Arabidopsis thaliana: one gene and its partner. The protein of the gene in region 1 interacts with the protein of each later gene in a pairwise test. Each region holds a gene or a part of one and is shown on either strand. Other genes may lie near its edges.

Evidence for each region.
Region 2: the proteins of smB (region 1) and AT5G62290 interact in a two-hybrid assay, tested with the Arabidopsis thaliana proteins (one large-scale study listed by BioGRID).

The regions. Positions count from the first base shown.
Region 1 is NC_003075.7:11,021,280-11,025,614, reverse strand, and holds smB (small nuclear ribonucleoprotein associated protein B), read left to right. Parts: upstream 1-1,763; 5' UTR 1,764-1,998; coding exon 1,999-2,772; 3' UTR 2,773-2,776; exon of another isoform or gene 2,777-2,880; 3' UTR 2,881-3,579; downstream 3,580-4,335. Other genes in the region: AT4G20450 (Leucine-rich repeat protein kinase family protein), read left to right, coding at 1-131, 205-404, 499-625, 707-772, 877-1,066, 1,153-1,561.
Region 2 is NC_003076.8:25,017,274-25,021,883, reverse strand, and holds AT5G62290 (nucleotide-sensitive chloride conductance regulator (ICln) family protein), read right to left. Parts: upstream 2,710-4,610; 5' UTR 2,317-2,709; coding exon 2,150-2,316; intron 2,073-2,149; coding exon 1,949-2,072; intron 1,717-1,948; coding exon 1,608-1,716; intron 1,499-1,607; coding exon 1,439-1,498; intron 1,347-1,438; coding exon 1,281-1,346; intron 1,175-1,280; coding exon 1,083-1,174; intron 984-1,082; coding exon 912-983; 3' UTR 753-911; downstream 1-752. Other genes in the region: AT5G62300 (Ribosomal protein S10p/S20e family protein), read left to right, coding at 31-144, 354-496; AT5G62280 (DUF1442 family protein (DUF1442)), read right to left, coding at 3,899-4,552. UniProt on the Arabidopsis thaliana protein: May participate in cellular volume control by activation of a swelling-induced chloride conductance pathway.

The DNA of each region.
Region 1 (4,335 bases):
AACTGGTCCTGGGAATAACAAAAAGAAATTGCTAGTACCTATTCTTGCATCAGCTGCTTCTGTGGGAATTATTATAGCTGTGCTTCTTCTCGTCAACATTCTCTTACTTAGAAAGAAGAAGCCATCCAAAGGTAAGCTCAGGACTAATTAAAACTCATTAACTTCAAATTTGTACTTAAGTATATAATGTATGGTATATAATAGCTTCACGCTCATCAATGGTGGCGAACAAGAGAAGCTATACTTATGAAGAGGTTGCGGTAATTACAAACAATTTTGAGAGACCTCTTGGCGAAGGAGGATTTGGAGTCGTGTACCACGGTAATGTAAATGATAACGAACAAGTGGCTGTAAAGGTGCTCTCTGAATCCTCAGCTCAAGGATATAAGCAATTTAAAGCTGAGGTACCTTCACTATCATTAAGTTTAATTATTCATATACTCAAATAAAATGTATATATATGATTTACCAACTTTTGGGTTACTTGTGGTTTGCTAGGTAGACCTTCTTCTCAGAGTACACCACATAAATTTAGTAACTCTTGTTGGTTATTGTGACGAAGGACAACACTTGGTCCTCATCTACGAGTACATGTCCAATGGAAACTTAAAACAACATCTATCTGGTAACCTTGATTACCTAATTTGTTTCTAAACACAATGATCGTGTGTCATCTTATAACATACACACATCTTTATGAGTACAGGAGAAAATTCTAGGTCCCCTTTGAGTTGGGAAAATAGGCTAAGAATTGCTGCAGAGACAGCACAAGGTTCGTTTGAAGTTTTGAGAAAAAGATAACATTGCAAATTTTTTGAGATGTTCACTTCTCTTGGTGAGTTTTGAAATAAACCTTTTATGAGTTGTATTATATAGGACTGGAGTACTTGCATATCGGCTGCAAACCACCAATGATTCATAGAGATATCAAATCTATGAATATACTTCTTGATAATAATTTCCAGGCCAAACTTGGTGATTTCGGGCTTTCAAGATCTTTTCCGGTGGGAAGTGAAACTCATGTGTCAACAAATGTTGCTGGATCTCCAGGTTATCTTGACCCTGAGTAAGTGGTCTATAACAATACTTAATGAACTTAAGTTGTGTCTTTCTCTTTCCATCTGGTAAATTTTTTATTCATTCGTATTATAGATATTACCGAACAAACTGGTTGACAGAGAAGAGTGATGTCTTCAGTTTTGGAGTCGTATTACTGGAAATCATCACAAGTCAGCCAGTGATTGACCAAACTCGTGAGAAGTCTCACATAGGAGAATGGGTGGGATTTAAGTTAACCAATGGAGATATCAAAAATATTGTGGATCCAAGTATGAACGGTGATTATGACTCTAGTTCATTGTGGAAGGCTCTTGAGTTAGCAATGTCATGCGTCAGTCCATCTTCATCCGGAAGACCAAATATGTCCCAGGTTGCTAATGAACTACAAGAGTGTCTCTTAACTGAGAACTCAAGGAAAGGAGGGAGACATGACGTGGACTCCAAGAGTTCTCTTGAACAGAGCACAAGCTTTGGTCCTGAACATATCCCTGATGCACGCTAGTTCATGCCAAGTTCAGGAATACACGTGTGTTTTGAATAACAAAATATTTCCTTATTCAATGTATCAGATTTGTTTTAATCTTGTTGAACTTTACACATTTGTTCCCGATTAAACTTTGACATTTGCTGATTTGCTCCATAAAATAAGCTTAGTGAAACTTGGAGCCTCAAACTAACAAATATTGTAGCCTATTCAACTAATTGCAGCCCAAGTCCAATATGTTTGGGCCCATAATGAAAGTAAGCCCATAAACAAGAGTGTATTCATTTATAAACCCTAGAAATTTCCCACTTCCCGATTTGCACAGCCAAACCCCCCCAATTTTGGCCTCTCGATTTAGTTTTTTGAAACCCTAAGCTCGATTTCGATCCTCCGGCATACTCGGTTTCGCCGCCGAATCTCTGCTTGTAGCGAGTGTTACTATTCAATCGGCGAGAATGTCGATGTCGAAGAGTTCAAAGATGCTTCAGTTCATCAACTACAGGATGCGAGTGACGATCCAAGACGGAAGACAGCTCGTTGGGAAGTTCATGGCGTTTGACCGTCACATGAACCTCGTTCTCGGCGATTGCGAGGAGTTTCGTAAGCTTCCACCAGCTAAAGGGAAGAAGATCAACGAAGAGCGTGAAGATCGCCGTACGCTAGGTTTAGTGTTGCTTAGAGGTGAAGAAGTTATCTCAATGACTGTCGAAGGACCACCTCCTCCTGAAGAATCTCGTGCTAAAGCTGGCTCTGCAGCTGCTGTTGCTGGTCCAGGAATTGGCCGTGCCGCTGGGCGTGGAGTTCCTACTGGTCCGTTAGTTCAAGCTCAGCCTGGTTTATCTGGTCCTGTTCGTGGTGTTGGTGGACCTGCTCCGGGAATGATGCAGCCTCAGATCTCTCGTCCACCACAGCTTTCAGCTCCTCCGATTATTCGACCTCCGGGACAGATGTTGCCACCGCCTCCTTTTGGTGGTCAAGGTCCTCCTATGGGAAGAGGTCCTCCACCGCCTTATGGTATGAGGCCACCGCCACAGCAGTTTTCTGGACCACCACCGCCTCAGTATGGGCAAAGGCCAATGATTCCTCCTCCTGGTGGTATGATGAGAGGACCTCCTCCTCCACCTCATGGAATGCAAGGACCTCCTCCGCCTCGCCCTGGAATGCCTCCTGCTCCTGGTGGTTTTGCTCCACCGCGTCCTGGCATGCCACCACATAATCAGCAGCAGTGATTAGGTTAGCAGTGAATGAACAGGACTCTTGTCTCGGCTTTTTACTGTTTTTGTCGCTGTTTTCTTGAGATTATGAAGGCTTTAAGATGTTTGATTGAACTTCCTCAGGTTTACGGTATCGTGCTATCATGTTGCCTTTCATTGACTTTAGCCGCAATTTCTCATCTATCTTAGCTTTCAAAGTTTGTAGATTTGTTGACGAGTGAGTTGTCTTTGCCTTATCTTCTTGTGTTTTCTTTTAAGAACGAATCCATTAAACTTTGTTATGTCTTCTTAAGGTAAACATCTATCTTGAGGATCGTTTTACATTGCTAACTCTTTTGAGGTTGAAACAGCAACTTTCTTGCGCCATTTCGAGGAACTTAATAACATCTTAGAAAGCTAGAAACTAAGCTAGTGATCACATCTGAATCTTACTCGAACAAGGGCTAAATCGGTTCTACTATTGATCACCTCTCTTGTCCTTGTTTATGGATTGTTTAGGTAGAAGTCAAAACCTTGTTTAGGGAGCTATGGATGTTGTGATGAATCGTGGATACATTCAGCTATTTGTGATGAAGAACTCGTCGATCTATAAAAAGATTAACAAGTCACATTACCTTGCAATTTTGGATATAGTTCAAATCTAACCAAAATTCTGTTGGTTCAGTTTGGTTGGGTTTCACATTCTTACATATGTTAATTTTGATGAAATGAAATTGTGAATTAGTGTGGTTAGTTGAATGGTAAGTAATACTTGTTTATAGTGAATTATTTTTCAGAACTTTCAATTATTCAATAAGGCTTGGTCACTAACCAAGATTTGACAAGTGAGAACGTATACAAATGGTGTTGACTTACACTGCACACTGCGATTGTTTGGCTGTGTAAGAATTGTGCCGTTGAAGGTTAAAGATAGAAAACAAAACAAAAGTACGAAAGGTAATAAAAAAAAGTCAAAAACATAGGTGTGAGTGTGACCCATTAACACTCCTAATGATGCTTCACGTTAACCCCACCATTGCTAAATCTCAGCTTTATAATTTTAAAAGATCAAAAGAATATTACAAGGCTGCGACAACTTTAAAGGTTAATATATAGTCGTTACTTGTTTATTTCTTAATCGGAGATTCGGTATGATACTCATTATTACGGATTGGAGTTTTCATTTAGTATCAGACTATTTCTTATTGATAAGGTTTATATACATGCTTAAAATCAAGAAAAATCGAATACTTGTTATTGTTACATTGTTTTCTTTTAAAATTTCAGTGCAAAACTGTGGAACTGAATTAAGTAAAAAAACTATAAAGAGGATAGAAATGGGACCCGACGACAAGTTCCAACAGCTAAATTTTGCAAAACTCTGGTTTTTCAATAACACTGTGCTCGTCCTTTTCATTGCCTCTTTCGTTCTGGGACCCTGTGGTGTAGTTAAAACGTTCAAAAATATCCACAGAATCCAAGAAACCAAAAAAAAAGGTTTCAGATTCTCGTGAGTTTTGTTTTTTTTCTTCTGAAGATATCCCACCTTGTGTATATAATACTATTAATAAGTATAAATATGAGCACACTCTTCTTTTC
Region 2 (4,610 bases), on another chromosome or scaffold:
ATTGTTCTGTTTCTACAAAATGATATGTAGTGTGTACTGATTTGGTTCGTGGAGCTAAGGACAAGAGACTGAGAGTTAAGGGTCCAGTCAGAATGCCCACCAAGGTTCTCAAGATCACTACCCGTAAAGCTCCTTGTGGTGAAGGTATGATGATTATGCTCATCTCATCTTTTATATTGCCTTCAGAATCACTAGAGCTTGTTGTTGGAACCACTCCCTTAGTTCATTTGCTCTATTAAACCTAGGATTTAGGTCTTAGAATTTGTGATTGTGCTCAATACTGTTTTATACTCTGTCACTGCAAGTGTCTTCACATTTGCTGAAACTCTCTTAACTATTGGTATTGTAAACAGGAACCAACACATGGGACAGATTCGAGCTTAGGGTACACAAGCGAGTTATAGATCTTTTCAGCTCTCCTGATGTGGTCAAGCAGATCACCTCCATCACCATTGAACCTGGTGTTGAAGTTGAGGTCACCATCGCTGACTCGTAGATCAACCCTTCTGTGGCTTTGGTATCTCTTTTCAAATTCTCTTAAGAAACAATCTTCTTTTCCCGTAACGACATTCCTTTTGAGTTAAAAAAAAAACAAATGTTTTGTTGTAGTGAAACCCAAGTTCTTATGTTTTCTTAATTTAATAGATTTTGAATTTTTTAATTAGAAGTTCGTCCTTTATTCTTAACTTGAGATCTTTTGACCCTCTCGATGACATAACTCTGTATGAAGTTACCAACTTGCTATCTCATTTCAAATTGAGAGATCTATTACGAGAAAGATTAAAGTTTAATCAGCCATAAATTGAAAAGCTAAGTATCACGAACATAATACTTTATCGTTGAACATAATACAACTCTTTCATCGTTAAAATAACACAACTACTATGTTTTCGAGTACAATTGTGAAGAGTCTAGTGATCTTTGGTCTCACTTTCATGAACCATCTCTTCAGCATCCTCAAACCTCTGATCATTGATTTGGAGCTGCAGTGTGAATACAAAAGGCAGATGAAACCACGCTCAATTTTTTAAAAACAAAAAAAGAGGAAAAATTGAAAGCAGAGTTTTGTAACTTTGTATTACCTCAAGCATAGGCTGATTAAGACCTTCATCTCCATTGGAATGACCAATTACACTAGTCGGACTCTGAGATATTTGCCACTCTGCATCATCATCTGTTGCAAACACATAGAAAACCATCACATTTCATTCGTACCATTCAAGATGAATACATTAACACACTCTTTAATTCGGTCTAAGTCATATGAAAACATTAATTACCTCCTCCACGAACATCCATCTGATCAGCACTAAACACCCAATTATGTCCGCTTTCTTCTTCTTCTTCTGAAAGATGCAATGAAACCAAAGATATAAATGGCTAGGTAACCAAAAAATGCAATTAGTGATACTATTAAACCAGTAATTATATGTTTTACCTTGAACTGGTTCAGGATTCAGCTCAGCACACTCGCAGAATACATCAAACAGCGTCTCCACTTTCATATGACAAGACAAAACGATATATCAGCTTAATAATATCCAAGACTCTTATATAATGAAACAGCCGATTCTAATAGCTCTAAAGATTGCTACATAACAACTCACACTGGGTAGAGTCAGAAGGAACAAGCCTCATCTCTCTGATCTTTGATAAGTCCAAAACTTCAGTGGATTCTGAATCAGACTCATCATCCTCATCTTCTTCAACTTCAATCTTCAAAACATTAAACCAAAAACTTAGCAAAATGAGAACAGAAAAGACTTAATCACACCTCTCAAATCCAATTAAAACGTGTAAGCCACTTTCTCAAATTCCAGCAAGCACTTGCAACAAGCAACATTACAGTACAGGCCTAAGAACTAATCACAATCAACGAGAACAACACTAATTCCCTTTTAAGCTACCAAGTCTAACAAAACCCAGAAAAATTGCAAGAGTTGAATACCTGAGTATATATACAAGGAGATGAATAAGCCTCAGGATCTCTAGAAACAGCGTGAAGCGATATTGATAAGAAATCAACTGCGTATCCTTTAGCCATGTCTACATCGCTCAGCCAAATTAATTTCCTGAAATCAAATCACAAAATTAAGCTAAGACATTTATCTCAATCGAGAAGGACTAGATTTTGAGTTAATTTTTGTACCTGGAAGTGATGTAGAGAGTTCCGGGAGACTCAATGGGACGGTTTCCGAGAGCGACGGCGACGGAAGTCTGAACGTGCATAAGTTCCTCGCCGTTAGATTCATCCAGTACCGGTTTCCCGGAGCCATCTTCGGTTCTGAGCGTGAAATCTCTTAGACCAGCCACCATTTTTTCCGATCACAAAGAAAGAATCGTCAAAAAAAACAGAGATTTTCAGGCAGGGTTTTTCTTAGGGTTTCTCAGAGGAATGATTTGTTACGTTTACTGATGAAGAACACTACAAGGCTTTTGACAAAATGGGCTTCGTTAAAAAAGCCCATACTACATTAAAACATAAGCCCACTAAACTATTGAGATCAGATAAGTCTCTCTGGTGGTCCATTTCCCTTGAACCTTTTTTGTTACTTTGTGTGAATGTAATGTTTGGTTGTTGATTAATGTTGTTTCGAATAAATTTTGTTATGTAAATATATTTATGGGTGAAAAATGTCGTTGTCTTTGAGAGTGATGAGGTGTGGGAGATGATGGATAAGGAAGAGATGGGGGTGGTCATTCATGGGGATAGGGGAAGGTTATGGGACATATAGAGATTGTGACAATGCTTTATATTAATGAACGGATCATTGTCAACAACGACTCTTCTCTTCAAATTGTTATCTATTTTCTTAACGGAGATGTCGGTTGATAAAAATAATATACATTCATTACGAGTTGTCTACTTCGAAGAAGGAGTTTATTTGGTGCCTCCCAGCTATGTGCACAAGCCTAGTTGAATTCAATGACTTATAAGTTTAGGTCGATGAGAATTTGGATCATATATCTAAAAGTACTGTAGAAGATTATGTTTTACCTTTGGGCATAGATTTGATTCAATGAGAAATGGAACGACCAAAAGTCGAAAGAATCGGACCAAAGTAAAACCATTCCTTAGAGATGATGAACTTCATTATATAGTGAATTCCAAGACAATGATTAACAAAATCACATAAGAATTAATTAGATTTTGGTAGTTCATCTTCAATATAAGAACTACGTTAATTTTTCGTCTTTACGGATTTCACTATATATTAATCTTCTTGGTTTTATAATAAAGGTAACGGTGATGAAAAAAAGAAGAAGATCTTTTTAAAATACAATTTTAAGGCAAACGAATACATGTCTGAAGACCCTATATACTATTACTAATATCTGTTTGACGTGCTTGTCGGTTTTAAATAGTGTCAACAAAAAAAATTAGACTCAACAACTCAATAATATACGTTTTTTTTTGTCAATTCTCAATAATATACGTCTACATCTATTTTGAGAATCTGTATAAGACAGCTAAATACATATGCTTACTTTAATGTTTCATTATATTAGTTTCAGATGCCATCTCTCATGCATGCATGTGCATTTTTTGAATATCTTATTTGCTAAACATCCAAAATCTGAAGAATAACAATGCGTGTACATATGCTCAAGAAAAGACAAAAAAAAAAAAAAAAAAAATCCAAAATCAGAGAGAAGTTTAAACCAAAACACATCATTTCATATTTACACTTACAAAAAAAGTCATTTACTCGAAAAACATAGACTTTTTCACTCTTCTCACCACACAAAATACTCCAAAGCCAATCAAAACTCTCTTAATATAATTACTTATACAAAATAACTAATCATCTTCTTAATTACTACTTTCACTCGTCTGAACCATCACAGAGGTGATCATCTTTGCTCTAACGTACCCAATAATCTATAAGATTTGAATTTAAGCTTCAATAATGGCTTCTCCTCGGGGAACCCTAACCCTAAACACATGTTCCTCTCCAGTGCACTTATCAACCTTCACCACCCAACGACTCTTCCTCATCACTTGGTCACGATGGTGATTTTTCATCATCATCTTCTGATTATCATTGACCCTCGTCACAAGTAACCCTTCTCCTATAGGTAAAAACTGCGTTTTCCTTCCATCGCTAAACCTCCATGACCCTCTCGAAAACGCGTTATAACCCACCACAACCGCCACACCGCTTCCACCCCCGGTTCTTGCGTTTTCTTCGTGATGATTAAGGATTTTTCCAACGATCTCTTGGTGGTTTTCGAGGTTACAATCCACGAGGACGAAATCTGCTTCTCCGAAATGATTATTGATTAGAGTGTCGTCGTTAGATTCTCCGACTACGAATTGTATCTGATGAATCTCTGATGGTTCCAACATTTTTTGGGATATGATTAGTTCTTCGATACCACGTAAAACGCATACAACTTGACCACGCGTTTGGTTAGCCGCTGCGATTAGTGCAACGAGTATGTCGGCGTTTGCTGCTCCGGCGCAAGCCACGGCTATCTTTCTAGCGCTATTTCCGGCGGCTAGGGCTGATATGAATTCGGCGACGTTTGGTTCTTTTGTCCTTTGATCCTGAAAATGCATATAGAGAAATATGTCAAAATGTGACATTAACTAATCTTTTATCGTA